Linked DNA regions of Pelodiscus sinensis. The protein of the gene in region 1 purifies or fractionates together with the protein of each later gene. This does not show direct contact. Links are inferred from orthologs where the notes say so. Each region holds a gene or a part of one and is shown in the gene's direction. Other genes may lie near its edges.

Region 1 (7,969 bases):
TGGGGTCTGTTGTTATAAGTATCTACCCATGGAGATGCAGCTTAAATGATCTCTTCATCTCTCCAAATCAATTTTAATCCTACTGGGTAGCTTCAATCCTATTACGTTTTTAAACACTATAAGTAGTAGCAGATTTTTCTAATGTGGGAGAATTATTAATATAATGGAAAAGATGGGAGAAAAAACAATAGCTTTGCTGATTTGCAACCTAATTTCTTTGAAGGTATGTTTGAAGAATACTAGCAATGATTTTGTGAAAAGTGTGACTGATGCAAACCAGCTGTTAGCAAGGTATACATTTTAAAAAGTGATATGAAAAAATGCCTTTAAAACCCTTTAATTTTCTCTCGTTAACTGAGTAACAGATTGTTAAAAATCCCCAGACAATTCAATTTTACTCTCCCTAGGGTAGATGTTGTGAGTGTACTTTCCCCAAATCTGTATTCTTCATACAAAGTAGTGTAGTTAAATGTCTGCTTTGAATGGAAAAGTTAAATGTCCTAATATGTACTGCATATCCATTTTTTCTATAACTTCGCTTTCCTTATTTCTAATGTCATCAAGATGAAGGGTGAGTAAAACAGCACATTGTTGTGCAACAGTTATCATCAGGCCAAAAATAAATAACATGCCCTCAGTAAAGGGTATTTTAGAAGTATGGCGTGTTTCACTGGATTATTAGTTTGCCTCCCTCTGAAACAGTAGCTTGTATCTTCGGAGGCTTTCTTAGCAAGTAGTCATGGGTGCCTAATTTTCACTGCAATGAACTGATTTAGTTATTTGTAATTTTCACTGAAATTAGTGTATTTAGTTACCGTTGTCTGCTGCTGCTATGTATGCCTTATAAACCATTACACTGATTTCCAAAGCAACTATTTTGATGCATCCTGGGAATTATCTAAAGGACTTGGGTGTTTTGGGGGAGGATTAGTTTGGGGAAAATCATATATGGAGCCCATGTAAGAAAAGGTGGATCATTCCTGTGGCAGATCTGATAAATGCCACGATTAGAGATGCAATACTGGATTGGATGAGGGACTATTTATGCCATTAAGCTCCAGAGGGGTAGCTGAGTTAGTCTGTAACAGGAAAAACTTAAAAAACAAGTAGTCTAGTAGCACCTTAAAGACTAACAAAACACGTAGATGGTATCATGAGATTTTGTGGGCACAACCCACTTCTTCAGAATGATTTGCCTAGCCACTCAGGTCAAATTTGATGTGTTGCAGGTTACCCTAGTTACGTGGGAGTGAGGGATAGGTACTTTTATTTGATTTGTCCCCCGCCCCCCCATTTATTTACAAGGAACATACAAAGGCCTATTTCCCCAAGGAAGACACAAGAGGCAGGGTTTTCTGTTTACTTTCCCAAGCCTCTTTAGTCAGCCTCCTTCCTAGGTTTTTCTCAGTCATGGATGCACCAGGCAATTGCCTGTTCTGCACAACCATCCCCTTAGTCAGTAATCCCTCAGTCTTGCTTCTTCCAACTGTTGGCAGCCTTGGTTAGATTTGTTCAGCAATAGGTGACCTGGGCTAGTAAGTGGGCTGCATGAGTGGTCCCAGTAGGCCGCAAGATAGTCATAGCAAAACTACACTATTTTGGGAGAACATTTTGGTTAACTGCCCGTATGTACCTAGAATTTGCAGGATGTGCTGACTGAACTGTAGCAGTGCTTTGATTGGATGCAGAGGGAGCGCACAAAGCACAATAGTAGATCTTTGCCCAGCAGTAAAAGCTACATTTGGATGACAGTATAACTGATTGAAAATGTACTGGAAAAAGCAAAGACTTCCGTTCACAAGTTGATTAATTAAGGCACTTCTATTGATTAAGAGGACAAGAAGTGTTTGTTAAGGCAGCTGCACAAATAAATGGATTTGATTCTTACAGATCTACAACTGCAATTTCTGGATTCTACTCAACCTCTATGTAGCTTTTATAGATGCCTGTCTTATAAAACAAACAGTCGAATGGAGTGAGGCACTACCAGCAATGGATTTGCTATGTGATAAGGACAGAATAGAGAATTTGAACACAGAATGAAATATCAAATGATGAATGAATGAAGGATTGATTCAATTTCTTCATCATAACTAAGGATTTGACACAATCTTTGTGGTATGTTTCCTGGATGAAGGAAGTAGGAATTCATCTTTTGTGCCTCTTGGTCACAACAGTTAGTGTTGAACACAGGCTCTAACTTCGTGGGTGCTCCAGACCCGGAAAAAAAATAGCAGGTTTAGTTTTGTGTTTGCTGTATCAAGTCCTGGAGTGTGTTTTCCGGTAGACATATGTACGTGCTTATTTTGATTAAGTTCCTTATAAGAACTTCATATTCTATCACTGCAGTCCTACAGGACAGTGAAAACAGCGTTTGCACCAGGTGCAATATATTTTGAAAGTTAAGTGGCTCAGTGGTTAAAAGTTGTATTAAATATGCCTGTGTTTTAAAATTGGAGTTCTGTTAAGCTTCATATCCAAAAAGCAAACATGACTTGCACAAGCCCCATTTCTGAGTATCTTTGGAGCATACCAAGTCCAAAACTTTTGAAACAAGCCTACTCACCAGAACTGTGTCCTTGAGTATCTGAAAGCATGACAGCCTGCAGCTCCCAATGAATGGAGACAGAGAAGGGTGTTCAGTGGAGAGCTTCTGTATTAGGACACTGGTCATTAGCCTGAATGACAGCTTAGCTTTCATAGTTTTGGAATAACATTTTTGCATTGTTGGGGTTTTGCTATTTTGAGAAGGAGCGCACTCCCATACACAGAATTCATCCAAGTTAGATAGGACAGACATACAATCAGGGTGGGTATATAGATAGGGTACTTACCTGAGTCCTTCATCAACATCATATTTGTGCTTGTGGTCCATTGGTCCGGTCAGACCTTTGGCATCTGGAAAAGGTAAAAACAATGCATCAGATCTCTCTTTCACCTGTATGAGTGTGTGTTTGTGTACTGTAGTTGTTCAGTATCTTTAATCCTCCCTTCCTTCCTACCCTACTCTTCCTACCTCCCGCCTCCAGTAAATAAACCGATAGTTGTAGTAACATCAGTGTGTGCTCCTTTTTCTTATTAGGTTAAGCTTTGAAAGATGAGCTTTCCAAAAAAAGTCTCTGAGAGAAAGACTGTTAACTCTTTGCAATCTTCTGAGGGACAAAGTCCTGAATTTGAGAACAAAAAGAAAATTTAAAAGTGTCAGCTCTGCCTAAGAATCTCAGGCTCTGTTTGACCTGCCTCTTTCTTTTTAAAGATAGAACTGATTAGGCTCCATAGGCTCTTCTCTTTTTAGGCATTACTTAGCCCATAATGTGCTAGGGCATAGCTTTGGCAAACACTGGCACTAATTAAGCACTGTGGGTGATCCCCTTGGTCAGGACAAACTAAGAACAGTTTCGCTGCCCGTTACTCAAATAAGAATAACATTTAATTACTCCCACATTCAAGCAAAATGCAGGACAATGTAGCACTTTAAAGACTAACAAGATGGTTTATTAGATGATGAGCTTTCGTGGGCCAGACCCACTTCCTCAGATCAAATAGTGGAAGAAAATAGTCACCACTATTCTTCCACTATTTGATCTGAGGAAGTGGGTCTGGCCCACGAAAGCTCATCATCTAATAAACCATCTTGTTAGTCTTTAAAGTGCTACATTGTCCTGCATTTTGCTTCAGCTACCGCAGACTAACACGGCTACATTTCTATCACTATCCCACATTCAAGTGATTTATAGCCAAGATTGATCACTTGGGCAACACAGGTCTGTCTGCTGGATACCTAGGCAGAGTAGGTATGTTTATGTCAACAAAGTCTGATCTGGAAGCCTTTCCCTCATGCGTCCCTGCTCATTACTGGCTGTCAGGGGAAAGCTCATTCCCACCTTATTTACAAATCGTATTTTGCAATTATTAGGTTGGCCAACATCACTGAAAGGAATCCACTGAAACTGGCATAAAACACAGCTGTATGTGCCTTCTTTCAATTTTAAGTAAATTTCCAACAAACTAAATGGGGAGCCCTGCATGTTACCAGTTGACCACTGGATGAATGATGGGGAAATTCAGGGAGTTGGGGGGGTAGGGAAATCTCTGTTTTTTTTTTCTTTTCACTGGGAATGAAAGGGGGATGGCCTGACACCAGGGCAGGTCCTAGCCCAAATGATGCTCCACGCAAGGAGTGTCTTCAGCCCCCCACCTTCATTTGTTAAACTTTTGAATAACTTATGTTTTATTGGCTTGGTAGCTTATTCCATAAGTTTGATGCATGATCATGTATGATGACAAAGGTGCACCAGAGGTTCTGTCCACATAGTTCTCAGAAAGTCTGCAAGGTTCCACGATTTTCTACAAAAGGTCCAAAACGCTCTTAGCGGTCAGTGAGAAATGAATCCAGGGAGGGAATACCTGAAACATGATACTTCCGACATCCTAGTCTCCCTTTTGCTGTTAAGAAAAGAAAAAAAGCCCCCGCCCAGCACCTGCCCCTAAAGCTGCCCTGCCTAACACCAAAGTTTAAGCCAAGCCCCAGAGTAAGACGCTGATGGACTGAGCTCGTGTGAGCGGACACACTCCAACGCCGCCCAGCCCGCTCCTTTCTGCTGAGACGGCCCCCGGCGCCGAGGGCTGTGCAGCAGGAGAGGGCGGCTGGGGCTGCCCCAGCCAGAGTTCCGCTCCCCGACATGTCACGTGGGCTCCCCCCGCGCTGCAGTCACCGCCACTGGCCCGCGTGGTGCAGAAGCCAGGCTGTGCCAGCCGCCCCCTGCCCCGCTCCGCTCAGGGGCTGGATCCTGCAGCGCGAGCCACCCCGCCGTTCCGGGCCCCCGCCTTCCTCCCTAGAGCAGGAGGCGCGCGCCTGCGTCCCAGCTGACCCCGCCCTGTCTCGGGGCCGGGAGTGTGACGTAGGCAGCTGCGACGCCCGGAGCGGAGCGTGCAGCTCCTGTACGTCAGCGGCGCGCGCGCGAGGCCTCGGCGGTTGATCGTTCAGGCGCTGCTGGGTTCGCGCCGCTTCCTCGCCCCCCCCCCCCCGCCGCCCACCATGTTCCCTGCCGCCCCCGGCTCCCCGCGCACCCCGGGCGGATCGGCCCGCAGGACCCTCGGGCCCGCCGCCGTCTCCATCCCCCGGCCGGGCGGCAGGAAGAGCCTGGTGCCGGCGGCCGCTTCCCCGGGGCTCTTCTCCCCGGCGGGGAGGCGGAGCGGCTCCCTCTCGGCGCGGTGAGTGCCCCGCGGGGCCTTAGCGCCCCACACCGCGCGGGGGGGGGGGTAAAGCGGAAACTGATGCGGGGGGCACTTAAAAACCGCCCCCCCCCGGCTCCGCGGAGTCACCCCTCCCCCGGCTGTTGGGGATGGATCAGTGTTATCGATTAACCCGTAAGCAAAAGCTTTCAGGTTAGTGCTACAGACCACACGACCCCCCCTCCCCCCCACACGACCCCCCCTCCCCCCCCAGTAAACTGTTTAGCAGCCTGGCCAGCAGCCCAGCACGCGCTGGTTCCCCTGCTGCGGCTCTGCCTTTAAAGTGCATTAGGAGCCAGGCGGGCAGCCTGGCTCGGTTCTGTCTTGTGCCGCATCCGTGAGCTCAGACCCCCCTGTTCCCGACGGGCTGCTGCCACGCTGAGCTGCTGCCTCTGTATCAGAGACAGCAGCATGGGGCAGCAGGCATCTGGTCCATGAGGGGAGCTGTTTATTAAACTGGCTTCCCTTGTGGACTAGCTCCCGCCTGGCACCCAGCACTGCTGCCTATGCTACAGAGGCAGCAGCACAGAGTGGCAGGCGGCTCCCTGGGAGAGGGGCTGGAGCACCCTGGCTGTTGGCCTTACCCCCGGGAGCTATAGAATAGTCAAGTAATCAATAAGAATTCATTCGGTTAATTGGCTATTCAGTTAACTGATATTTAACATCTTTACTCTGTATCCGAGTCAGCAGGCTGCAGGTGGGAACTGGTCTGCGTGGGGAGCCAATTTTTAGACCAACTCTACCTGCCACCTCACATCCCTGCCTCTGATACAGAGGCAGCAGCAATACAGGGTGTCGGGGTTAACCATTCACATCCCTAGTTCCAGCCCGTATCAACAAACTTCTTTTCTTTTTCCCAAAATTAGTTTTAAACTTCTAATAGCAGTAATAGCTGCACCTGGCATTGGTCAACTGCTCTCTTACCCAACAGGACAGATAATACTATCTTTATTATTATCTAAAAGGCTCACAAACAAAGGATTTTTGTCTTCTAAAACTTTTTCCAGCTAAAGAGAAAGGGAACAAATAACGTTGAAATGAAAATCTTGTTGAATGCATTACAGGCAGTCCCCGGGTTACATGGATCCGACTTACATCGGATCCCTACTTACAAACGGGGTGAGGCAACCCCACACTAGCAGCTTCCCCCCAGTAGACCAGGGAGACGCGAAGCTAGCACCCCCCCCCCCCGCCCCCCCAGCAGACCAGGGAGACGCGGAGCGGCTTTTCTCAGCAGACACCTCAGCTTGAGAATAAAGGACTGAGGGAAGTGAGGTGTGGGAGAATAAAACTGAGCTCTGGAGAAATGTTTCGCTAGAGTTTCCCCTACTATATATACCAGTTCCGACTTACATACAAATTCAACTTAAGAACAAACCTGCAGTCCCTATCTTGTACGTAACCCGGGGACTGCCTGTACATTTCAAATGTTTTAACTCTTTTCTTTCTTTTCTATGTCTTTAATAAAAAGTTGAAAAGACTTTGTGATGCATATTGTGGTACTAAACAGGCTGAAGTCACTGTATGCCAAACCCGAAACTTTGTTTTTAATATTTTATTGTTGGATTGTCACTGGTTTATGTTAACACCTTTGGCCCATTATTCCATTCAAATTAATATAAGAAGGGAAACCTCCTTTAGTGACTTGAATGTTAGCTCCTAAAGATATGCACTTGTGCCTGTTTTTCACAAACTTGGCCATTCAATCAAGTATCTTTTAAATAATTGAAAATGAAATAAGTATATCTTAAAATTGCAGGAGACATAATGGAAACAAATCAATCACAGTTTATGTGTATATTTTTTTTAGAGCAACACCCACAAGAGTATTACAACATCCTTCAGCCAGTGAAACTATCAACTATGACGTTAAGACTTTTGGATCCTCTCTCCCTGTTAAGGTTATGGAGGCCCTAAGAATGGCTGAAGGTAAGGAATGATTACATGGGAATTAGATCAGATAAAGGAAATACGGTAATCTCTTTATACTTTTAAATAGATATTTTTGAGCAAGGAGGAGGAGAAGAGAACACCTTTTTAATTGTATATAAGAAGTCTCTTGCTAGAGCATTTATAAGCTTCAAAACACGTAAGACTGTAATTGTTCATGATCAGAACAATTCAGTTATTTTCTTTCAAATGTCAGTCATCTGGATATCAATTCAGTACTGGACTTTTTGTGAAAAGCAAAACTATTTAATTATATTTGGAGAGTACTGTACAGACCAAGCACAACAAAAACAGTCAAAATTAAGGTTGCTGATCCATATATTCAGTTGTTTAAATATTGCCACTCACAGTTTTAGGTAAGCTTAAGAAAGAAATGTTTAGGCCACTGGTAACAGTCATTTACAAAGTCTTAAGTTAAAAAAGAACAACCATCCTTACTTTTTCCTTGTTTTGCACTTCATGTTTGATATCAATTGTGCTGAAAAGGTGCATTGCACAGGTCTGTATTTTTATATGTAATAGGAATGTATCCATTGATCCAGATTCTTTAATTTCAAAACAATCTACGATATATTTGAGAGCGTTTGTGCATGAGTCTGTCTCTCTATTTAAGAATTCTTCCTAAACGGTAAGAACTAGTCCAAATTTGTATGCAGCTTCCACTTATCATATCTTAAACCAAGGTAAGGGTTTGGTTGTTCCAGGGACACGGGCTGTACCCAGAATGGGATTGCTTCTCATAAAACCATATAGACAAGAGAGAATCACAAGGCAGGTGAAAGGG
Region 2 (7,998 bases), about 11 Mb from region 1:
ATGTAAAGAATGGATAGGGTCAGGGAGAGTCAAGTCCATGAGCCTGCTCTATGCATTTTCCCAGTACCCCATCTCAGTTGCCCCAGTAGTACAATTGGAAGCTTTTTATGCATTGATGCCCAAATTGGCACGTAGCTGTACAGACTTTACTTAGCCCAGCTGTCACAGCTTTTAATCTACCCATGAGGAACCCTTGACACATGTCTGCCTCTCTCATACCACAGACTCATTACAATCACTTGGATTGTTGCATGCAAATTAGCTGTTGAGAAGCATATTAATTGACTGAATCAGTTTTCTGGCTCTGTTTAATAGTTGCATGTGTGCCTGGCCTCAGTCTGTCTGTGTAACTTTCCTAATAAAAAACTGAATACAGCAATCAACAACTTACCATATTCACAACCTAATTTCTTCAAATACAGCCACACACAAGATTTCAATTCACTTGGGCTACATGAATAGTTTGAAGTATCTGTGTTATTTTCTTAACATCAGTTGGAACAAAATCAATACAGACATATATGCTACATTTCTTTAAACTAATTTTAAGCGATAAATTAATTTGCTTTCTAATTCCAAGAACATTCCTTCTTTACACAAAAAGTACAAGGTGTATGGGGAGAATACACAAAAAATAAAGAGATTGTATGGATCCCTGTATTGAGTGCCAAATGAAACATGCTTAGCCATGGAATCCTTATCCATGCCTCAATAGGGCTCAATGTTTATAATTTAGAAATTCGCATTTATTAATGGTTGAAGCAGTGTGTGATTATTTAATTAGATAATGTATCATAAGCATGCAGTTGGGAGTAGGATTAAGGTTGCACTTTCAGCCTTATCTTTGGGATTTTCTGTGTGGTGGTGGTTTTTTTTTTGTTTTTGTTTTTTTTGTGACTGCTTACTAGTGCAACCTTACTGTTGTGCCACCTTAGTTATATTATTTCTTACCCACTTTTCAGGAGAAAAAAAAAAGTAGAAATGTCTTTGATCTGTAGCATTATGCTACAATTTCAGGTGGACTATTCTGGGAGAGGTAGAGAGGCGAGTTTGGTAACTCGTTTTTACTTAGTATGACTGTTATATAGAATTCATTAATAAACTCAAGATACTTCTGGGATAACTGTACACTTCACCCCTTCTGGTCTCTTCGAGTGCACCACCTCTTGGGAATAAATCAATGCATGTTTCCATTCTCTGTCAGGCTAGGTATTGGGTGGCCAGTCTCTGTATACCAACTGTGATCATCTTAGAAGTTCTGACTTTCTTCTTAAACTCTGCAGTCTATACCCTACATTGGCTGTAACAGTGGTAATCTGTAACTAAACAGCTTCCTTAAGGTGAAGTATTTAGCTATAACACACAGATTTAAGAGAAAAAAGTTATTAAAACCAATAAACCAGCTTTGCATGCCCCCAATGCTTACCATTCCATATCTGGTAGATCTCAGTATTGCAAAACAAGGCTGACCATAGGGTCTTGGAAGAAATCACTGTGGTCCTTCTAATGTGTACACAGGTGACTTTATCTGGAAAGACTTTGTATGCTCTTCCCCATTCCCTTTTAGTTAGATCAATACATTCAAACAGGAAAGTATTATAAATCCAATATAAGTTATACAGTCTCAATAACCAGATTACATATCAATTTAGATTTTTGTGTATCACTTCCTTTTTTGTCATGCTTCCTGATCTGAAATAAATATAAATTAAACTCAGTGTGGAAGAAGTCCAGGGAGAAAGCACAGGGCTGAAAATCAGAGAAGCTACATTCTGATTCCATTTGTGCTGCTGTTATATAGCACTTTGTGATCTATAAATAAACACTCTATAAATGCTAAGTATTTAATATTCTAGTGGGAACTCAAGCTGCACCACTTTTCACCCAGGTTTATTCTTTGATAAATCACAGAGGCAATGGTACAAATGCTTTAAAATTATTTGTAAAAAATCTCCTCACAAAGCACACTTACAGAGGGTGGGGAGTGGGGAAAGAAGGCAAAAAAAGCGAATATGTGTTAAATGCAAGGAAGCATCAAAGATTTCCATATTCTTCTTGCAAGAATTGATAATAGCGAATTCAAATGTATTCAATTTAAACTGACAAAAGATACGCTAGAGAGGATAATGGGCATAGTTACCTGGTGCTCATTTACATAATGTGCAGTTTATTATCCCTACTGAAACAATATAAATGGAAAAACACTGGAACACGAGAAACCAACAAGATGGCTGTCATTCAGACATACCTTAATTACAGAGTGCAAACACAGCTCTTTTACACAAAACTGTAAAAGTGTTCTTTCTTTGGGTGGCAAAAAACAAAGCTGACCTAACTCACTTCGGCGTACAGCCACTACAGTAATTACATCGCTAGTTTATCGTTTCTTGTGTCAGCAGTACTCATCCTCACCAGGAGTGCTTGTATTGACTGTACTGTCAGTGTGAGACATTGTGGGATGGCTCCTGAAAGCCAGTAACATTCAACATAAGCAACACGGTGTCTCTGCTGATAGCATCAAATTATCTACATTGACCTTGACTTTACACTGCACATGGTTGTAGAATTAAATCAGCATAGCAGTGCCCAAATCCCTGCAGAACTGCCATCTGCCTCTAATTCTGCAGGTTCCTAAAAATCACTAGTCACCCACAGTTTCAGTCTCTGAGCATGCACACAATGCCACTGGCAGGTGTCCAGACACCTGTCTCATACCTAAGCCCCAAGGTGATCCTCAGATGAAGTGAAAATCCCTGTGAGAGCCATGTGCTCCCTCTGCATAAAATCAAAGCACAGCTATGGTTCAATCAGCACACAAATTCTAGCAAGCGTAGTTAGCAAAACTACCCTATCCTGGGAGACCATTTGGGTTGCAACAATCTTGCGGCCCGCTGAGATGAAGGAGGGTCACTGATGTGGCCTACTCACTAGCTTAGGTTGCCCTTGCTGCTGGAGAACCCAGGTTTGAGAACTAGCTATAACTGAGTCTTATTTAAATATTTTTGGTTGTTAGCAAACTTGCAGTTAGGTCTGTAAAACTATTTTTGACATTAAAATGCAAAAATCTAACATTTTAACCTCCTGCACTTACCACACATATTGTTAGATTAACGTAAGTTTTTAAAACATTAAATCAGAATTTGCAAAAATGTATCTTACTTTTGCTAGCTAGAATATGACAAGAAAGGGAGCCTATAGCAAGTTCCATAGGCAATGCCCTGTTGAGATCATAAGATCCCCTTGAATGGAAAAATCTCACCTGTATTACAGAGCTGACAGGGATGCATTTGCTTCTTCTGACATGTCAGATCTAAAAATAACCTGGACTGGGTGTGCATACCCAAAAGGGGGAATTTTTAATAGTTAGCTTTTGGGGGACTGTTTTGTGTTTAAACATTTTTTTTTCATTTATAAATCTCTGTTTAACACATCTAGGGCTTAAACATCTATAAAAATAATGATGCTTTCCTGAAGAGGAAAAGACCAGAACATTTTATCCAAAACAGGATAGACTGGATTCACCATCTCTTGAAGTATGTAAATCAGAAGTGGAGTCTTTCTAAAGGATTTGCTGTAACTCAGTGAGATGTAATGCACTTAATGCAGGAATTACTGAGCAAAATTTCCTAGATTGTGTCACGCAGGAGGTCAGACAGGAACATCATAATGGTCCCCTTCTTCCCTTAAAATACATGTCTGTGACAATACCTTTCTACAAGAAGAAATAAAAAAGGCTTTGTTTTGAGTGACACCACCTGCACCACTTTGCCATTTGAAAAATATGTAAGAAGTATGTTAACCTTAGTCCATTCCATATTTTCAGCACAATGGATTACCAGCATGTTTTAAAATCAGGAAAATAATATATTTTCTTTAAAGGAGTCTGAATGACGGTAAGCACTGTCAGCTTTGGGGCTGATGGAGTGAGATCCTATTCTTTTGCATGTCAGCCATAGTATCTCCATAATGAAGTAGTGTCAATCTTGAGGGATAGGAAATTACTAAAAAGCTTGAAGTGAGAAACACATGCCCAGCCTGTGTTCCTAGCTGTTGAAGAAAGGGAGGGTACTGAGATTCTTTCTGAGTTGCTTTTTCAGGGCACTATGGGTACTGCATCCTGTTGTAATCCTATGGTTAGTAGGTTCCTAATACATTTGAAGTACCATGCCCAGTGAGATACTTAATGAAGGGAGCTGTAAGGCACTTTAACTTCAATTGCTAACCTCCTAAAGGCTGCAATGGGAGGAGGATCTTTGCTACACAATCCCTTCCTTTCCTTTTTTTTAAGGGGGCTCCTCCTCTGTGTCTGCCTCTGTTGTTGCCCAAGTCATCTCCTGGACCTAAGCTAAGCAGCAACGTCATGAAACCACCTTTTGCTATTACAATGATTTTGTGGCCACAATAAGGGCTGTGCATGTATTTGATTTAATTTTAAAATTTTAATTCTGCAGACAGTGGTAGTGTATGTGTGCTCTCATTGTAATTTAGATATGGTCAAGCTGAGTTCAGGAAGTTAACATCAAAGCACGGGAAAAAAAAGAAAAAAACTGAAATCCAACAACTGTTGTCTGCCAGAGGTTTCTGGAAGAGGCTTTTCTGAACAAATAAGCCCTCCCTGATGTGTTCCCTAGGCCAGACACTGAATGCTTGTGCCAGTGAGAGAGAGACTAGGTGTGAAAAGAAAGGAAAAGAAAAAGAAAGGCAAGAGGAAGAGGAGAAAAATACAACAGGAAGGAAGACAGGCTTCAAGTTTCTGCAGGGGTGGCCACAGAACAGCACTTCCTGACAGAAGGGATGAGCAACTCGGTAGTTCTGAAGAGACTACACTTCCCGGCATGCACAGCTTTGCGGGCGACTGGAACCCGCCGGGCAGTGGATGGAGCGGTGCATGCTGGTACTTGTAGTTCTGCGCCTGTTGCGTTCCGACTCCCCTCCCGCTCCTCCCCCTCAGGGCCGCTTGAGCCTGGGGAAAGGTTGCGAATTTGAAAATTCCCGCGGTAGTGGCGGCGGCGGCGGCTGCTCTCGCGAGATCGGATTCCCCCCCTCCCTTCACAGCGGCGAGCGTGGGGGGGGCTGGGTTGCTGCGCAGACACCGAGTGCGGCGGAGCTTGGCAGGCCCGGGAGAGGCAGGCGACCGCCTTAACCGCCGCGGCGAGATGCCGCCGCCCTGACCGGCACGGGGGAGAGGAGACGGGCCGGGCGGGAGGCAGGCGGCGGTGACACCCGCCCCAGCAGGTACTAGCGGGAGGGGCCGCAGCCACCCCTCGCCTAGGCCGGCTCCGCACCGGGGGGGCGCCGGACCCAGGCCGGAGGGCGGGCAAGGAGCGGTCGGGGGCAGCCGCTGGGAGCCCGGCGGGGGTGGGGGAGCCGGCTCCTTATGTAAGTGACCTCGGGCCGCGCAGCCGCCGCCGCACATGGCGGTGCCTGGTGCCTGAGCGAGCGAGCGGCCGCAGCCCGCGCCCCGTGCAGCCCGGGGGCGGGAGGGTCACTCGGTGCCGCCCCGCCTGCGCTTAGGCCCGGGCAGAGCACATGGTGCCGAGGGATCGCAGCCCCGGGGCAGCAGCAGCAGCGCGAGCTGGGCTCCTCCCTGGTGCTCACACTGCTTCCCCTTCCCCCCGTGTGCCGCATCAGACTGTATCCAAGGGGCTCTTTGGACAGAAGAAAATAACCCGAAGTTTTAGGGAGTGGGCGAGGAGGGGAAGGTTCGCACGTGAAATCGGAGACCCTCCAAGAATGTAGGGTTGTTCTGGTGATGTTCCCGTGCATGTTTGGCTTTTGGTCTACATCGTGTGTCTCCACAGAGTTGGTGCAACTTTCTAATGCCTGCAGTTGGGTGCATGGTTTTTAAGAGTATGTATCCATTGGTAGGGTACAAAGTTGCTGATTGTAATGGTGGTAAACAGACCAAAATTTCACTTCTGCTTTTCATAAGCTATAGGTAAATCATAAAATCAGAACTTCCATCAGTAAGAAAAAATACTTTTAAACCTTTGCTGTCTGATAATTTTTCTAACACAAAAGCCAGAAGGTGCTGTGAAAATTGGGCTCTGCAGCAAGGGCTGGAATCAGAATTCAAGTAAGGCTGGTTGTCTGATAGGGAGGGGAAGGGATGGTTTAATGTAGTGTTTCTCAACCTGTGGTAGGAGTACCCTGAGGTACTCCAGAAATTGAAATTTGGAGAAAACTGAATTTTTCTTTTAAGTTTTACAGAGCTTATAATTTTCGTGCTTTTTACACCCAAAAATTTCTTCACCCGCCTGGCTATAATTAAGTTATTTAAACACATGTTTTGCAATGGTAGAAAAAAATGCTGAGGTGGGAGATTGAAGCTAATGCAGAAGCTTGGTTGGCTGATTGTAAGGATGGAGAAGACTTGCTCTTGATTCTCAGTAAGTAATGGGTAACAGCAATAGTGAATTAGGTCTGATGATTCATATATTTGTCTATAGGCAAGCTTTCTTTTGCCAGTGGCTTTATTACAGTGATGTTTAGTTTCTATACTAAATATCAAGGTTACCATTCAAAACTTCCTGGGACCCGCCTAGGCGGGTTTGTTCTGAGTACAGGCAGGGATGAGCTTTCCAACTGCTACCACCAGTAAATCATAAGCTTATTTATTTCTTTTTATAAGAGGATATGACAGAATTGCCAGCTCATTGATCATGTGCTTAAAGTTTCCTCTCTTCCTAATGTCCCTCTAGGATTCATCAAATATTTCCTGGTTTAAAAAGAAAAAGCCATAGAACTGGATACCACTGAAAAATAGTTTTGTAATGGTTTTCTTTATGTAATATAAATTGTGAAGGATGGTGTTTTCCAAAGTGAACTTGCTATTTTCTCTCATTTCCCTTTCTTCAGACTCTTCTTATTTCTCCCCATATACTAGAGTTTTACACATACTTTTTACTGTTAGTAAGCCATATCTTAACCGCCCATTACTCCCGCCCTAAGATTGATGAGTAATAACTGTTGCCTCCCTAAGTACGAACTGTTATGTCCCCTGCTCCCTGGATCAGCATCAGTTGGGAGCTGCAGTGCCTCGAATTGTTTTAACAGATTTTTTTCTGTGGCTGATTGAAATATTGACAGGTTCCAGAAAAAATTGTTTATCCTTGTCCAGTGTGATAGTTGCTGTAATGTTGAGATTTTGAGTAAATGAAGAAAGTAGAAATAGAATATCTTGGATGATGTCTTTTCTCCCCGCTGTGTTAGTCCTCATAGCAAAAGAGCATGTTGAGGATTCCCCTTATGTGTATGTCTCTGAGCCCTTTCTTTGACTTGTTCTGCAGTAGGCATGTTGCATTGACTTTCTCCAAAATAGCCCATGATATTCCTAGACCTGAAGTATGTCCTATAAGGGAAAATTGGTTGATGTGTAAGCTGCAAAAATTATTGTTTTGGAGCAGCAGGAAGCTGGAAACTCAAGTTCTGGCTTACTCAGGTAGTAGGGCAGTCCTGTGGCAGACTCTCCTGTTGGCTGCCTGTTTTTTTGTAGCCAGGAACATTCTACTGTCATGCTTACAGGGCTAGCTGTACCTCTGCCTATCTGATGTGTCTGAATGCTGTCCCAAACACCCATCCCGAAGTATCTGATTTTATGTCTTTACCTCTCCTGGGTTGGAGTTCTGTAGTTTTCACACTTGGTCCGAGGCTATAGTACAGTATTTACCATGTGTACCCAGCAGGTCTGACTGGCTCCCTTACTCCACCAGCCCTCTGAACACTTCCTGTTCTTCACTTTGGATTTTGGAAACCAGGATGAGTGTAATCACCAGATAGCCTTCTTAAACTAAAGTATTTTTGAATCTTAATTATAGGAACAAAGCATAAGAGAAAAAAGGATTTTTAAAATGTTCCACATGCACGTGTTACCTAAAAGCTGCCAATAATAGGCCAGGTAGTTCTAGCTTCATGTACTTCAGAGTGTGTCTATTTCAATAGCTCCCAAACAACTGCCACCCACTAGAGAAAATCAGTTTTATCCATCCAGGGTTTTGA
Region 3 (7,534 bases), on another chromosome or scaffold:
TCCCCCCTTCATAACTGATATCTCAAAACATTCTCCCTCCTCCACAAGATTTCTGTTATGACTACTACTTTCCTCTACAGTTATTTCTTCTCTTATGTATATATTTTTGGCATTAGATGTTCAGTAACATTTTTTACAAGGGAAGTTGTTATATATTATTGCCCTCCTCTTTATTGCAATACTTTGAGCCTTTTGAAGTTACAGATTATGATTAAAATTTTGTTGTTATACCATAACAAGTCTGTGGCCATCTAGGGTTTCACATATGCAATTATTCTGTACACAATGGCCACGGAAATTCCTTTTATTGATTGGTTTGAGATGCAAAAAGGCAAAACTCTTGTTTAGGGACCAGCAGACTTTAAGGCTGCGTCTAGACTGGCAAGTTTTTCCACAAAATCAGCTGCTTTTGTGGAAAAACTTGCCAGCTATTTACAGTGGCCGCTTGAATTTCTGCAAGAACACTGACTTCCTACTGTCTGAAATCAGTGCTTCTTGCGGAAATACTATGCTGCTCCCGTTCAGGCAAAAGTCCTTTTGTGCAAAGCTTTTGCGCAAAAGGGCCAGTGTAGACAGCTCAGATTTGTTTTGTGCAAAAAAGCCCCGATCGCGAAAATGGCAATAGGGGCTTTTTCTGCGGAAAAGCGCGTCTAGATTGGCACGGACGCTTTTCCACAAAAAGTGCTTTTGCGGAAAAGTGTCTGTGCCAATTTAGACACTCTTTTCCGCAAATGCTTTAAACGGAAAACTTTTCCGTCAAAAGCATTTGCAGAAAATCATGACAGTCTAGACGTAACCTAAGTGTATTTAGAATCCAGGAGACTTTTCCTCCCATAAACTCTACTCCAGCTATGAGCTCTATGTGGCTGCATAGAAGCTCACTACAGGACTGGAACATTCATTGCAGGTAGCAGTTTTGACAGACTAACCTTTTAGATACTAACAATGGTTTCCTAACAACTGGAAGATACTTTTAACAGTTATTTGCAAAATTGGAAGTCAGGGGTCTGTTTTCCTTGATGTAACCCCAATACCATTGCCATGGCTCTCAACCAGTAGTATTAGAAAGACTAGTGCGTGCTGGCCAAAGTTTAGCAGTGTTTGGAACTGGGGTTACAAAGATAATCCCAAACCACTATAGTTTTAGCCAGATGTTAACTTCCACCAAGTTTGAGGCTGTTTCAGTTGAAATTTTGGCCTATTTAACAACATGGTTGTACCCTGTGCACTATTCTGTGTATTACTCACCTGTTAATGCCAGCTCTAACCTCCTAGTGCTGTTCTCTCAAAGACATTGGCATGGTCTACACTTAAAAGTTTAAAGAGCAACAGTGGAAGTGTTGTAACACAGCAGTCAGTGTGATCATGGCAGGGGTGTTGGGAGAGAGCTCTCCCAGTGCTCTTGGTAAACCACCACCATGACTGGAATAGCTAACAACTCCCGCTATAGCCTGACTTACCCTGGCCCTTTACAGCTCTATAACTTGCTACACTGGTTAGAGGGGGTTTCCACACCCTTGAGCCAGAAACTTACAGTGCAGTAAAATGCTAATGTAGACTTAGCCATTAAGTTAATGATAGGACAGCAAAACCAGTAGTTTAGGCCTTATCCACATGTGAAGTTGTTCCCAATTAACTGTGCTATGGTTCAGCTAAACCAAAGCAGGCATTCTTGTTTCAGGCTCAGTGTCCACACTATTAATCAGGAACAACTCCCTGTTGTAGGGTTGCCATCCATCTAGGTAGGGTTGCCAGATGGTCTCCCAAAAAATACCGGACGCCAGGTATTTTTTGGTCGAGCAAAAAAAAAAAGGAATGCGGGATAAGCAGCGATCGCAACCCCGCCTCCCAGCTGGGACTCACAGGCTGGGAGGCGGGGCCACGATCGGCACTGGGAACCTGTGATTGCACAGAAGCCTGGCGGGGAGCAGACTCCCAGCCACTCCCTCCACCCCTGCCAGGCTTCTGCGCAATCACAGGCTCCCAGTGCCGATGGCGGCCCCGCCTCCCAGCCTGGGAGTCCCAGCTAGGAGGCGGGGCTACGATCATCGATTTGGGCGCTTCAGAAGCCTAGCTGGGGTGGGGGGAGTGGCTGGGACTCCCAGAACTCTTCTGAAGTGCGATCGCGGCTCCGCCTCCCAGCTGGGGACTCCCCACCTGGTAATGCTCTGGGCACTTCAGAAGCCTTGCGGGGGCAGGGGGAGTGGCTGGGAGTTCCAGACACTCCCCCCGTCCTGGCTAGGCTTCTGAAGTGCCCAGAGGGGTGATCGCTGTCCTGCCTCCTAGCTGGGACTCCCAGGCTAGGAGGCGGGGCCACCATGGGCGTTGGGCCCCTGTGATTGTGCAGAAGCCTGGCAGGGGCGGGGGGAGTGGCTGGGAGTCCCAGCCACACACCCTGCCCCTTCCAGGCTTCTGCGCAATCACAGGCTCCTACCGCTGATCGTGGCCCCACTTTCCAGCCGCTCCCCCCGCCCCTGCCAGGCTTCCGTCCGGTGCGCAGCTGGAAAAATCAGAGAATCTGATTTTTTTTACCGGACAAAGAGTGCAAATACCAGACTGTCTGGTAGAATACCGGACACCTGGCAACCCTACATCTAGGTATTACCTGGGGGGCTTGGTTTTGTTTGGGTTTTTTTGGCTTCTGTAGCCTGGGTGATTTGGAAGGCAATCCCTTAATCTGGGGAAAGTGGGAAATCTAGCAGCAGGAGACACTATGGTCCGTGGTTCTCAAACTTTTTGGGCTCCGGATCCCTTTACATGTGTAAAAATGTATGCGGAGCCCCAGCAGCCCACTGATTCTGTGTTGTACCTATCCCTGTTTCCAGTTTGTCAACCTCGGGGAGACCCTGGAGATGTCTTGAGGAGCCCTGGGGCTCCGTGGAGCACAGTTTGAGAAACACTGCGATAGTCTATGGGGTCCAGGGGAAGTTTAGGGCCGTTGTGACTGACGTTTTAGGGAGTAAGTAAAACTCCCCTTCCTTTTGTTTCATCACTTCATCTGAGAGAGGTGAATGCTCGCCAGGCTGGAGAGAAGAGAGGGTCACGCACCCTCTGCAGTAACTGCAGTTCTTTGATAGCGGCGGCCCTGTGGGTGCTCCACCTTCGGTATTTGGATGCGCCGTGCTGGGGCACCCACAGGGCCCGCCGCGAAGAAGCAGGGCAGGCCGGAGCAGCGCAGCTCGCCGCGGGGGCTGGGCAGCAGCACAGGCTGAGCGGCGCGGGGCCTGAGGCGGCTCTGGGCGGGGAGCTGGGCCCGAGCGGCGGGCGGAACTTTGGCGTGACGGGAAGAAGAGCGTGGGGCGCATGTTCCCAACCGGGGCGATTTCATCGCCGCACCGCGAACCCGGCCGGGACTTGCCACGTCTGAGCCGCCGGTAGCAGCCGCACGAGCCCGGCCCGCCCCGCCGCCGCCATGGTAAGGCCCCGCGAGCGGCTCCTTCCCACCGGGGAGGGACACAGCGTCTCAGGGGCGCGATCAGGTTCCTTCCAAGCCCCTGCCTTGCCCCCCCCCCCCGGGACGGGCCTTTCTCGCCGCCCTCCCTGGGGGGTCTCGCCGCTTTCTCGCTGACCCGGAGGGCGGGCGGGCCCCTCACTTCCCGGCCTGTGGTAGGCTCGCGAGCTTCCCGCGGCAGGGCCCTGGCCAGGTGAGGGCTCCAAGCCCCGTGCTCCTGGGCATCCCCCGTGTGATCGGCCACTAATAAAAAAGCGGGGGGGGAGTAGAGTGTAGGCTGGAGATGGACAAACACATCTTAGAAGAGGCAGCAGGAGCGTAGCCCCAGCTGCAGCTTTGGGCTGCACCACAGCCTAGTGCCTACTTAGAAGATCCGTGAACTTTAACCACCACGCTGGGCTTTCCTTGATATGGATACTGCCTGCTGTACACCTGGGGCTTGCGCTGCATTATCAACTCATATTGATTATAATTAAGTTGCTTAAGGGGTGGAAAGTCCAACCTGAATGAGGTTGTTATACTGACCCAGCCCCCCTGTGTAGCGAGCGCTCTATTGGCAGGAGGGCTTCTCGCAATGACATAGCTACTGCCTATCACTGAGGCTATGTCTACCTCAGACTTCACGCCTCTTTCAAAAGAGACTTTTTCGAAAGAATCTTTCGAAAAAGCCTCTTTCGAAAGAGAGCGTCTAGACTGCAATCTCTTCTTTCGAAAAAGTGAGCCACTTTTTCGAAAGAGAGCACTCAAGCAGTCTGGATGCTCTGTTTCTCAAAAACCCTGTTTGCATTCAAGAACACCTTTTTTCGAAAAAACACGTTCGAAAAAAGGCATTATACCTCATGAAATGAGGATTACCCCCATCGAAAGAAAAGCCACGTTCTTTCGATTTAATTTCGAAAGAATGTGGCTGTAGTCTAGACGCAGGTGAAGTTTTTTCAAAAAAAGGCTACTTTTTTCGAAAAAACCCTGCAGTCTAGCCACAGCCTGAGGTGGATAAACTCCATCGATAGTAGCATCTTGCCTATTGGAATAATCATGTCTTCACTGAAACATTACAGCTGTAGACATGCTTTTATATAGCACTCTACATCCTAGGGATGTTTGGTATCCTTATCCCTGTTTCACAGATTGGAGGTACTTTACAGGTAAGTACTGAGCAGTGAAGTGATTTATTTATGGCCTGTTTGTCTAAACTGGAGTGAAAATTCTGGAGCTCTGGTAACTTATTTTAGATGCTGCCTAGTGGTCTTGTTGCTTTCTCACAAAGGGACTGTTAGCAAGATGCAGAATAGATACAAAAAGCAGACCCTGCCAACCAAAACAGGACACTGGCATTTTGAAGTGAGCAGTGCCAGGTAAATGAAGTCAGAATGTGGAGGAAGTCCCGGATTTTGAATGTCTGGTGAAGGTATCCTTTTGTCCTTCATCCTCAACATATATTAGGGATACTGAGTGTTTCAAGGGATGACCTTTACTTCAGCATTGCTACACTGTCCAGTCTGACTAAGGAGCTGAAATCACTGGGCTCTGATGGTGTCAGCAGACGGTCAGGGCAGTGTGTGTGGGTGTGTCTCCTAAGTCTTTAGCTGCTAAGACACGAAGTCTCGTCGCAGCGGGCAGCCCAGAAGGCTGAAAGGAGCCCCGAGAGTTTAACGTCCGTGACTTTACTGCTAGGACCGAGGTCCCGTCGCAGAGGGTAGCCAAACAGGCTAACAGACGTCCCAGTGTGTAGGAAGAGCTTATTACACTTCAGATTTTAGCTGCTAGAACACGGGAGAGGGGGGAAGTTCCTTCACAGCGGGCAGCCCAGGAAAGGCTGAGAAGTGCCCCAGTGGACCCTGTCACCTGGGAGTGACACAGATCCAAACGCCCAAGCTCTTCCTATAACTGTCCCTTTAGACCGGCTGAAGTTCTTTTAAATTGTGCTTGGTTCTGTTACAGCAACTGAAGGAGTCAGGTTAAAGCTTAAACAGTTACAGGTTTATTGAGGAAGCTTATAAATCATATGGTTGCAATGGCTATTGTTCTATTTCTTAACTGCTAGCAAAATATAGATCTTAAAAATGGTTACAAAGAAGATAGATAGAAAAATAGAAATAATGGTACCAAGTAACAGCTTACTCTTTCTATGTGTACACTTAAGACAGAGGACCACATCCAGGTACAATTTTTACCCCCTTCTGTGCGTCTCGACTCCAGCATGTCAGGCCAGGGCCGGTCCCTCAATTCCTAGGAAAGATGAAAATACGAGGTGGGCGTCCCTATAGAACCTCGGGAGGTCAAACACCTAACCTGACCAGCAGGTAGAGGGTAGAATGACACTCAAAGTGAGTGTGTGCTGAACCCATCTTTTATACCCATTTTGGGTCACGTATTTCTCTTTTTTTATCTGTGATGCCAAATAGTGCTGGTCTCCCTTTTGTGAGACCAATTCTTACAAGGGAGTTGTGAACTTAATTTACACTTGTAAGAGAGATAACTAAATTGGAATTACTGGGGGATTCTTTTCTCAGTGGGAAATTCCTCTCCCAGGGACTGTGTGTGTGTTCGAATCAACATGGGTGCCAGCTGGGGCAGTTCTCGCAGCCTCGAGGCCAGCTTATTGACTTAATTGCTCTCTCTCTCCACATATCTGTTTTTTCAGCTTCTCAGGATCAGATGAGCCAGCATAGACTATGCTGATTTTACTGCTCCTTCTCTGCCCTGTATGCTTCAGAGAGGCAAATAAGATGGATGATATGGGGGGTTGGTGTGTCTGGCTACAGATGGCTGTACAGGTGGCTCCTGTGAAATGAGTTTGGTTTCAGTCCAGTTTCCAAATTCTTGGCACTGAGACACGCTTGTTCATAGCCTCAGCAAACACTAGTCAGGGAGATCAAACTGTCTTTCCTCCCCTTCTAGACCAGGACAGAGACACAAAGAATTGGTAAGGTAATGTGGGGAAGCTTGCATTGCCACAGCCTGGGCTCTATCGTGTCCATAAATAAAAAGGATATTATTTTCCATGGAGGGCAAGCCACTGTTAAATTCACACTTACCAAAACCCAGAACGAAAGCAAAGGTACTTTCTCCACCTTAAATATAACATTGCAAAGGTAAACTAAGATTGACCTGAGATGAAGTTTTTATTGAATGGAAATGGGTTACATCCTTAGTGTAGCTTAGAGGAAAACATCTTACCTGAGTATTTTAATATAAAATAGTCTCTGAGTAAACTTCAGTTTCAGTCTCCCTGTTGGCATTTGTACTAAATGTAAGTGATTTTTTTTCCCCCTCAGGTATCAGTAATTAACACTGTGGACACTTCTCATGAAGATATGATTGTAAGTATTTATTTAAAAAAAAAAAAAAAGCTGAGAGTTTTGCTTTACTGAAGAAAAATTATTTTGATTTTTTTTTTAAATTGTGGTAATGGGGAAAATTCAGCTGTCAGTTACCTGTGCAATTCCGATTACTTCAATGAGTTTATCTATACAGCACCTTCTAGTTACAGCTTGTGTGTGTAGGTGGTAGGCACAAGGAGGTATGGGGATGTTACAGCTCTGGGTGGAAGAAAGCAAAAGACTCAGTTTGGAGTTGGCTGAAGGAGAAACAATTTAGAGCTCTCATTCTGATGTCTGGGACTTGCTACTGTGAAACAAATAAACAAAAAAACCCCTAAGAACGTAGGCTGTTGCTTGGAGAACACAGAAGAATGAAATTGAGAGAGTAGTGTGTGCATGTATACTTAGAAAAGGAATATAACACTTCAGCATGTGAGTCTTCCACCCCAAAGAACAGCATCTTCTCTCAGTAAGTACGCTTCCTTGGTGCTTTATATGAAAGGATGTCAAAGTGACTTACAAACATTGATTAATGAAGCCTGAGTACATGGGTATGGTAGGCCAGCATTTAAAAAAAATATTATTTTATAAAGAGGGAAGCTAAGAATGGGGCAATTAAGTAGCTTTGCACAGGGCTACAGCATCAGTGGCAGAGAATGGAGCCTCAGAGTACCATCTTTCTATCCATTGCTCTAACTTTTAGGCACTATTTATTTTTACTGTAGTGGGGTGATATACCTGTCAGAGAAATATGAAATAG
Region 4 (7,933 bases), on another chromosome or scaffold:
TCTTGCTATAAATTCTAATACTTTTAGAGGAGAAGTTTTAGGACTTATTAGCTCAGATAAAGCTACTAATTCATCATACAATTCTACTCCATCACTGTCAGCATAGTTATCAGTACTGAGTGCTAAATGTAGGTCCTGGCAGTGCTTCATGAGATCTTCTTTAGAAAACTGATTTTTAATATTTCCAATATCGTATAAAAATTCAAAAGTTTCACAAAGACTATGCAACTGATCGAATCTTTCTTCATGAAGGGGGCTCAGACCCATTTCAGTGGCATTTAGGAATTAACAAACATTATCAGGAGTAAGGAATGGCTGCAATACGAGGAAAGATTAATAAGACTGGGGCTACGTCTACACTGGCCCCTTTTCCGGAAGGGGCATGTAAATTTCACCAGTCGTCGTAGGGAAATCCGCGGGGGATTTAAATATCCCCCGCGGCATTTAAATAAAAATGTCCGCCGCTTTTTTCCGGCTTTTAAAAAAGCCGGAAAAGAGCGTCTACACTGGCCCCGATCCTCCGGAAAAAGTGCCCTTTTCCGGAGGGTCTTATTCCTACTTATTCCTACATTTTATTTAAATGCCGCGGGGGATATTTAAATCCCCCGCGGATTTCCCTACGACGACTGGTGAAATTTACATGCCCCTTCCGGAAAAGGTGCCAGTGTAGACGTAGCCTGGGACTTTTCATCATGGAAAAGAGACAACTAAGAGTGTAGGGATAACATATTAATGTATTGAAAATGATTCCCCCAAATGGAAGTGACTCCCCATAATTTATTCCCCACAACTTAAAGTGTTTAGATTTATTATTAATTCTTCTTCTTCTTCTTCTTATTTGTTAAGATTGTTAAATGTTTAGATTTATTATTATTATTGCCCCTTTAGAATATAATGTATTAGGTCATGTAACTTAGAACTGTTAAGAATATAATCCTATATAGCCAGAAACAGCCCCCCCCCCCGTCCCCCCCCCCCCCCCCCCCCCCCGTCCCAGGGCATGCTCAAGCTTGTGCAAGGGAGCTGCTTGAAATTGACATTGCAGAGATACATTGGAACAATGCATTGTCAAGCCACTAACTCTGCTATGGAAGCCAAGCCCTGTAATTGACTAAGGGCATTGTTACATAATTGACGCCTGTTCTCTTTAAAACATTGTAACTTTACTCAGCACTCAGAGACTGTTTTAATCAATACCACCCAGAAACTTTTGTAACTACAACTTTTATTATTATACAAAATACTGTATAGGAAACATTAATTAGGGAATGTATGTAAGAGAGAGAGTGCTTGTATGATGAATGAATGGTTCTGAGAGGTGCCAGCCTGAGAATACAGCAACAAAGGGCTGAAGAAGGCATCAGGTGCCAGTGCAACCAAAAGGTGTCAAGTGGAGAAAACCAAGTACTGGAGGTCCACCCGATGAGATCACTGACGAGCACCTGGCAGCCACCCTGAAGACATCAGCATGATGCAGCAATTTCCATAGACTGGCATAGGAAGAAATTCCTATAAGAACTGGACTAAAAAACTATGGAATCAGAGTCCAAGGTTCTGCTGCCAGCCTACCAGGAGCTTCAGATACGCATCTGATCAGGACTTTGCTCCCCACTACCATCACTTGTGTACAGAATACCTGGCCAGTATTCTGTCACAAGCAACTCCCAGGCTGGTAACTATAACAAATACACAGAACCTGAATGAATGGATGAATGAATGTTTATATGTATAAGGGTTAAGTAGTTAAACAATGTTGTTTGCTTCTATCTTTTCTTTATTTTTTTATTATTATCTTTACAATAAATGTGGATTTTTGCCTTATCCCCCTCATAAGATCCTGCTTGCTTTTATTTGGTATTACAAGAGGGGGAAATGAAAGAGGTCTATAAAATCAAGACTGCTGTGGAGAAAGTTAATAAAGAACTTATTTACTTGTTCCCATGACACAAGAGCTAGAGGTCACCAAATGAAATGAATAGGTAGCAGGTTTAAAACCAACAAAGTATTTCTTTCCTTAATGCACCGTCAGCTTGTGGAACTACTAGCCAGAGGATGTTGTGAAGACTAGGACTTTAACAGAGTTCAAAATTGAGGTAGATAAGTTCATAAAGGAAAAGTCCATTAATGGCTATTAGCCAGGATGGGTAGGAATGGTGGCTCTAGCCTCTGTTTGTCAGAAGCTGGGAATGGGTGACAGGGGGTGGTTCACTTCATGATTACCTGTTCTGTTCATTCCCTGTGGAGCACCTGGGATTGGCCCCTGTCAAAAGACAGGATACTGGGCTAGATGGACATTTGAGTTGACCCAGTATAGTAATTATTATGGTCTTATATTAACTTTGAGGATTTGGATCTGGGGAGGAGGGGACAAAGATTTATCTCTTCATGTATACTTGCACCATGCTTAGTACAGCAGGGTCCTGATCTCAGTTGCAGCCTGAAATGAGGGCAATGTTCAAAGACTGGATATTCCCCTAGGGTAGAATGAAGAGCAAACAGGTCATAAGTTCACCTCCAGTCTGGCACCAGCTTGTCAGTGTGAACTGACACTTGGTCAAGCAGATCCGGCTTGAGCCATTCCTGTGCCCCGGGCAGCAGGCGCGTGACACATGCATGGCTCTGCCCCAGGTGCATGGCGCATGCGCGGCCCTGCCCCCTGGCGCGCTGCACACCTTACAGCTGCAATCGGGCACATGGCCCGGCTAGCCCCCCCCTTAATCCGGCCCTGACAGGCACCTCCAGATGCAGTACCAGCACCTCCAGTCAGAACTCAACAACTTTTCCCCTGGAGTACCGGCAACTTTTTTTTTTTTTTTAGAAAAAAAGCATTGCGTGAGAAAGGTTTCAGGAGTTTGCCACCTCCTCCTCTGTGGTGGGGAGTAGGGGAGTGTCTTCCTTCCTGGTAAAACTTAAAATAACAACAAATAGTCTGGTAGCATTTTAAAGACTAATAAAACATGTAGATGGTATCATGAGCTTTCGTGGGCACAGCCCGCTTCTTCAGATGACCAGCTTCCTGGTGTGAACCATAAAGCCTTAAAGAAGGTAAATTAAAAAAATCCAACTCTGCAGTATTGCTTTTTAACAGAGTCTTGGTCAACTTAATGTTAATTTGAATGTTTGTACAATTAACTGCTGTTAAGCTTGCTAGAATAAGTAATTTTTCCAGGTGTCCTGGATTCAGTACAGGGAAATCTGGACAACCTAGTAAGGGGCCACCAGTCCCTTTACATACAGACAATTACTGCAGAGTATAAAGCCTTTGGGAGCCAGGCCACTGAGATGAATGAGGTGAGTGAGGGAAGACTGAAAGAACTGGGCTTTTTTAGTTTAGAAAAGAGAAGACTGAGGCTACATCTAGACTACACAGTTTTTCTGTATCCTGGAAAAACTGTTCCGCATCCAGGGAACGTGTTTGATCTTCCGCTTTTTCTGCAGAAGAGCAAATGCACTCTTTCAGAAGCCCCGGTATTGCTCGTTCCACAAGGAATAAGGGGGCTTCCGAAAGAGGGTTTTCCCCCCAACATTTGGCCCAGTCTAGACGTGCCAAATGTCAGAAAAGCCTCTTCCAACAAAAGAATCAGAAAAAAGCTACACAAAATGCAGAGCTCATTTTGCGTAGCTTTTTCAAAAAAAAAAAAAAAAAAGCGGCAGTGTAGACCTAGACAAAAAAAACCCACAACAAATGGTCTGGTAGCACTTTATAGACAAACAAAACATGTCGATGGTATCATGAGCTTTTGTGGGCACAGCCCCCTTCTTCAGATAACCGGAGTTATGAGTGGGCTATGTCCACGAAAGCTCATGATACCATCGACATGTTTTGTTAGTCTATAAAATGCTACCAGACACTGGCGTGCATATGGGGTATGCCGGGTGTGTGCAGGCACACCCTAATGTCTTTAGTTGCCAGGTGTCCGGTTTTCTACCAGACAGTCTGGTTTTTTGGGGCTCTGTCCAGTAAAAAAAAATCCAGAAAATACCAGACATGGCTGGTATTTTCTGGTTTTCCGACTGGGCATCCGGAAGCCTGGTGGAGGGAGTGGCTGGGAGGCGGGGCGCGATCGGTGCTGGGAGCCTGGTTGCATGTGAGGAGGAGGGGCAGCCCGGTCTGCGTTCCTGCGCGCTGGTCAAGCGCGTGGTGGAGCCACAGCCGGACTGACTCGTGCTTCACCTGGACTGTGCAGGGGGCAGGAGCGCCCTGGGATCTGCACTTCCTGGGTCAGTCCTGCTCCCCACCCGCTGATATGTTCCTCCCCCCGCCCTGCTCCCTCCTGGCTGGCCAATTGGTTCTCCCTCACTTCTCCTCCCAATCTTCCCCTGCCAGCCCCGTTGCACCCGCCGCCAGCCCTGCTTCCAATGGCCAGTTCTCCCCTCTTCTTCTGATCTCTCCGGACCAGGCCCTCTGTACCCAACCCCCGCCCCCAGCTCTACCTCCTGCTGGCTGGTTCCTCCTCCCGATCTTCCCCGGCCAGCCCCGCTGCACCCATTTTAAAAAAATTAAGTTTAGTTGTTTAGTTTCTTTAGTTTGTTTGATGAATAAAAATAATGTCCTTTATGATTGAGTCTTCAATAAATGTTCGCCTTTAAAAGAAACAGAATTCCCTGGGCGCACACCCTAATGCAATGTGCTGCGCACACATGCCTATGCTACCAGATCATTTCTTGTTGTTTTTTCTGTAACAGACTAACTGGGCTCTCCCCTGCAGCTCCGAGACCTAGACAGTGCTTTGTCCTGCCATGCGGGCGGGGCTGGACTAGATGGTCTCTAAAGGTCCCTTCCAGTTCCATGGCCCTACGAGACCCTTTGGAAGGTCGCTTGGGCTGGAGGCGGCGCATCAGCCCCGAGAAGAGCCGCGCAGCAGGAGGCGGGGCCACTTGGCGCTCCCTTCAGAGTCTCCAGCGCTCGCGGCCGCAGCCACCCCCGCGCGGCGCGTGACGCCTGGGCTCGCCCCCTGGCGGAGCGCGAGGGAAGCGCCGCTGGCACGCACGCGCCGCCCGCTCTCCTGGAACGCCGGGCGGGCAGGCGGGCGGGCTCTGTCCCGGGCGGCGGCGGCGGCGGGGGAGCGAGGCGCGGCCCGGCCGGGGGATGTTCGTGGCGCGCAGCATCGCGGCCGATCACCGCGACCTCATCCACGATGTCTCCTTCGACTTCCACGGGCGGCGCATGGCGACCTGCTCCAGCGACCAGAGCGTCAAGGTGCGCGGGGCTGGGCGGCCCCTTCCCCGCCGGGACGCGCCTGCCCAGCCGCTCGCTGCCGGGGAGGGCCCGGGGAGGGCGGGCGGGGCTGCGATGTCCCGCGCCAGCCTGGGCTCGCCGGGGCGGGGTGACCCGCGCGTCCAGCCGAGCCGCGCGCCAGGCCCAGGCGGCGGGAATGTCTCCCGGGCCCCCGGCTGGGGCGCCGAGGAGCCACCGCGACTGGGCCGCCGCGCGTCCCCCGGTGCGGCGAGGAGATCGCCGCCGCCTTGGGCCGGGCCTGCTCGCCGAGCCTCGCTCTGGCCTCCCTGGGCAGCAAGTGCCCCCAGCGTGCGCGTGTTGCGCGTTTCCTGGCAGCCCCCTCAGCGCCGCGGGGCAGGGGCGGCAGCCAGCCAGCCTTTCCCCCCTGCCACGTGTGTCGGCGGCCTGCTGGCTAGCGAGCCCGCCGTCCTGTTCAAAGCCCTGCAGGGAGCAAGGGTGAGAGACTGCGGGCAAAAGAAACGTCGTGCTGGAGCACCTTACCGGAGACGCTGGAGTGTTACCTGGCAGGAGGATCAGAGTTGGATTATGTAATTTGCACATATTTAAAAATACTCTTTTCATATAGGGATGTCACAGTGTAGACAAGTGAATGGTAATCAATTATCCTGGGTTTAGTGGTTAAAATTGTCGACTACACCTATTTCCTCCCGATGCCTCTTAAGTCAGCTCCCCGTGACCACCAGATCTGCCTGCCCAGCACCCACATTGCCTTCTCTGATAGAGGCAGTAGTATGGGGGGAAGGGGCAGGTGGGAGCTAGTACACATGGGGAGCTTTCAAGCAGGCTCCCCATGCATATTGGCTCCTGCAGACTTGTCCCCCCCCCCCACCTCCCCCCGTGTGCCTCCTACAGTGGCAGTGGAGGGGAGGCAGGCAGGAGCTGGTGCTGCGGAGAGCTGGCTTAAAGCTGGTTCCATCCAGCACTAGCTCCCTGGTGCCCTCTCCTCCCCCACCCCCAGCCACTAGAGGCAGCAGGGGTGGGGGAGGCAGAGGAAGCTGACACGAAGCAGCCTCTGTCTTCAGTGGCCGAACTCTCTGCAGATAGAGGCGGCTCCATATCACACAGAGCAGCTGCAGTCTGCGGTAAGCCTGGATCTGCTGTGGACAGAGGGTGTTCTGAGAGAGCCATTTCTGTCTGCTGGGGGTCTTGAGTTCCCCACAGACAGACTGCTCTGCATCCCATGGAACAGCCTCTGTCCATGGGGAGCTCTGCTCCTTTGGGGACAGGGGCTGCAGCTGCTCCTTGCTGCTGCCTCTGACATAGAGGCAGCAGCATGAGGAGGCAGGAGCTTCCCCGAGAATGTGGCTGGGAGTGTATTGGCTTCGCCCGCCCACCCTCCCATGGTTTTCCAAATAGACCCCTGGGGACTCTCGAATAGTCCTGTAACCACTAAGATTTCATGTGGTTACATGGCTATTCAATTACACGATACCTAACATTTGTACTTTAATATTTAATTCGCTGTTTCCTCCCTCAGTGAGTATTAAAATCATGGCAAATTGGGAATATATAGTATTGGCTGCTTTTAAGTTATATGAAGCTAATTAAAGGCTGGTCAAAGTCTTGAAGTCATGTTTTTGTAGCTTTCCTTTTACTCAAAAATAACTGGATTAATTTATCTCAAACTTAAACAACTATGGTCTGAGAACAAGTTTGTAAAAATTATCCGTGAAGGTAATGTGCTTGGGAAGGTTATGGGTGACTGTTAAAGGGGGGGGGGGGAAGTATGCTTCAAAATAGAGCTTTAGTTCCAGTGTTCGTTGCCTGAACTCTATAATGTAACTTTGCATTAGAGATGCAAATGGTTACCTGGTAAGCATTCCTTAATGTGGGGGTGGGGAACCTTTTTTGGGTCTGGGGTCACTGAACCACAGAAAAATCAGTCAGGGAGAGGGGGGCTGCACACAATTGGGGAGGACACAAAAAAAACCCCACACTGATGTGGCCCCTGACTGAGAAGGAGAAAGATACTCCTTATGTTCCCCTCACACACCAGAGCCTAGAGGGGCCTAGCCTAATAGATTTTGTGTGCTCCAGCCCTGCAGTGAGGTAGCAGGGGTGGAGGAGGGGGGCTGGAGCACCAGCATCAGCTCCCAATGATGGGGGGTGGCGCTGAGCGGGGGGGGGGGGGGGGGGGCCTAGATCCAGTCAAGCCGAGGGCCGCATGTGGTCCTCAGGCCTGAAGTTCTCCACTCTTGCCTTAATGGGTGTCAGGGAGCTGCCTGAAGGGCTGGTGTGTGTGGCCAGGGTGGCGGGTGGGGGCAAGCGGGAGAGAATGGCAGCAGGATGGCTACTGGCTCCCAGCCCACCCAGGGTTGTGGGCTGTGAGTTGGCAGGTTCGTGGGGGAAGCGCTGCCAGCTCCTAGCCCTGTGTGCTGTCAGTGGGCAGGCTTGTGGGGGAAGAGGGTGCTGCCAGCCAGCAGTTCGACTCGAGCTGGGAGCCAGCAGTCTCATCTTTTCTCCCCCACCCCATCTTCTGTCCCATCTCCTTGCACGAGGCTGCCAGATCCCAGCCCATGGGAGCCTAGCGGCCTGGAACAGCCCCCACCCACACCCGTTTAATCAGTTAATCTGTCAAACTTAATGTCTAACCAGTTAACTAATTAAATGGGATTGTATATCCCTACTTTGCATTTTAAAAAGTACCTTTTTATCAGAGAACCTTGAAAAGATTTATATGTATAATGCCTCCCA

The links.
Region 2: the proteins of NUP133 (region 1) and AHCTF1 purify together in Homo sapiens (affinity purification with western blotting; 3 studies listed by BioGRID, with this or other methods). This does not show direct contact. The link is inferred for Pelodiscus sinensis from reciprocal best matches to the Homo sapiens genes NUP133 and AHCTF1.
Region 3: the proteins of NUP133 (region 1) and SEC13 purify together in Homo sapiens (affinity purification with mass spectrometry; 4 studies listed by BioGRID and IntAct, counting the BioPlex papers as one, with this or other methods). This does not show direct contact. The link is inferred for Pelodiscus sinensis from reciprocal best matches to the Homo sapiens genes NUP133 and SEC13.
Region 4: the proteins of NUP133 (region 1) and SEH1L purify together in Homo sapiens (affinity purification with mass spectrometry; 4 studies listed by BioGRID and IntAct, with this or other methods). This does not show direct contact. The link is inferred for Pelodiscus sinensis from reciprocal best matches to the Homo sapiens genes NUP133 and SEH1L.

Annotation. Positions count from the first base shown.
Region 1 is NC_134713.1:123,320,183-123,328,151, forward strand, and holds the start of NUP133 (nuclear pore complex protein Nup133), read left to right. Parts: upstream 1-4,963; 5' UTR 4,964-5,038; coding exon 5,039-5,214; intron 5,215-7,045; coding exon 7,046-7,164; intron 7,165-7,969. UniProt on the Homo sapiens protein: Involved in poly(A)+ RNA transport. Involved in nephrogenesis.
Region 2 is NC_134713.1:134,045,717-134,053,714, reverse strand, and holds the start of AHCTF1 (protein ELYS), read left to right. Parts: upstream 1-4,985; 5' UTR 4,986-5,235; intron 5,236-5,403; exon of another isoform or gene 5,404-6,389; intron 6,390-7,998. UniProt on the Homo sapiens protein: Required for the assembly of a functional nuclear pore complex (NPC) on the surface of chromosomes as nuclei form at the end of mitosis. May initiate NPC assembly by binding to chromatin and recruiting the Nup107-160 subcomplex of the NPC.
Region 3 is NC_134721.1:19,785,532-19,793,065, reverse strand, and holds the start of SEC13 (protein SEC13 homolog), read left to right. Parts: upstream 1-4,533; 5' UTR 4,534-4,548; coding exon 4,549-4,596; intron 4,597-6,729; coding exon 6,730-6,774; intron 6,775-7,534. UniProt on the Homo sapiens protein: Functions as a component of the nuclear pore complex (NPC) and the COPII coat. At the endoplasmic reticulum, SEC13 is involved in the biogenesis of COPII-coated vesicles.
Region 4 is NC_134712.1:87,661,196-87,669,128, forward strand, and holds the start of SEH1L (nucleoporin SEH1), read left to right. Parts: upstream 1-4,932; 5' UTR 4,933-5,089; coding exon 5,090-5,200; intron 5,201-7,933. UniProt on the Homo sapiens protein: Component of the Nup107-160 subcomplex of the nuclear pore complex (NPC). The Nup107-160 subcomplex is required for the assembly of a functional NPC.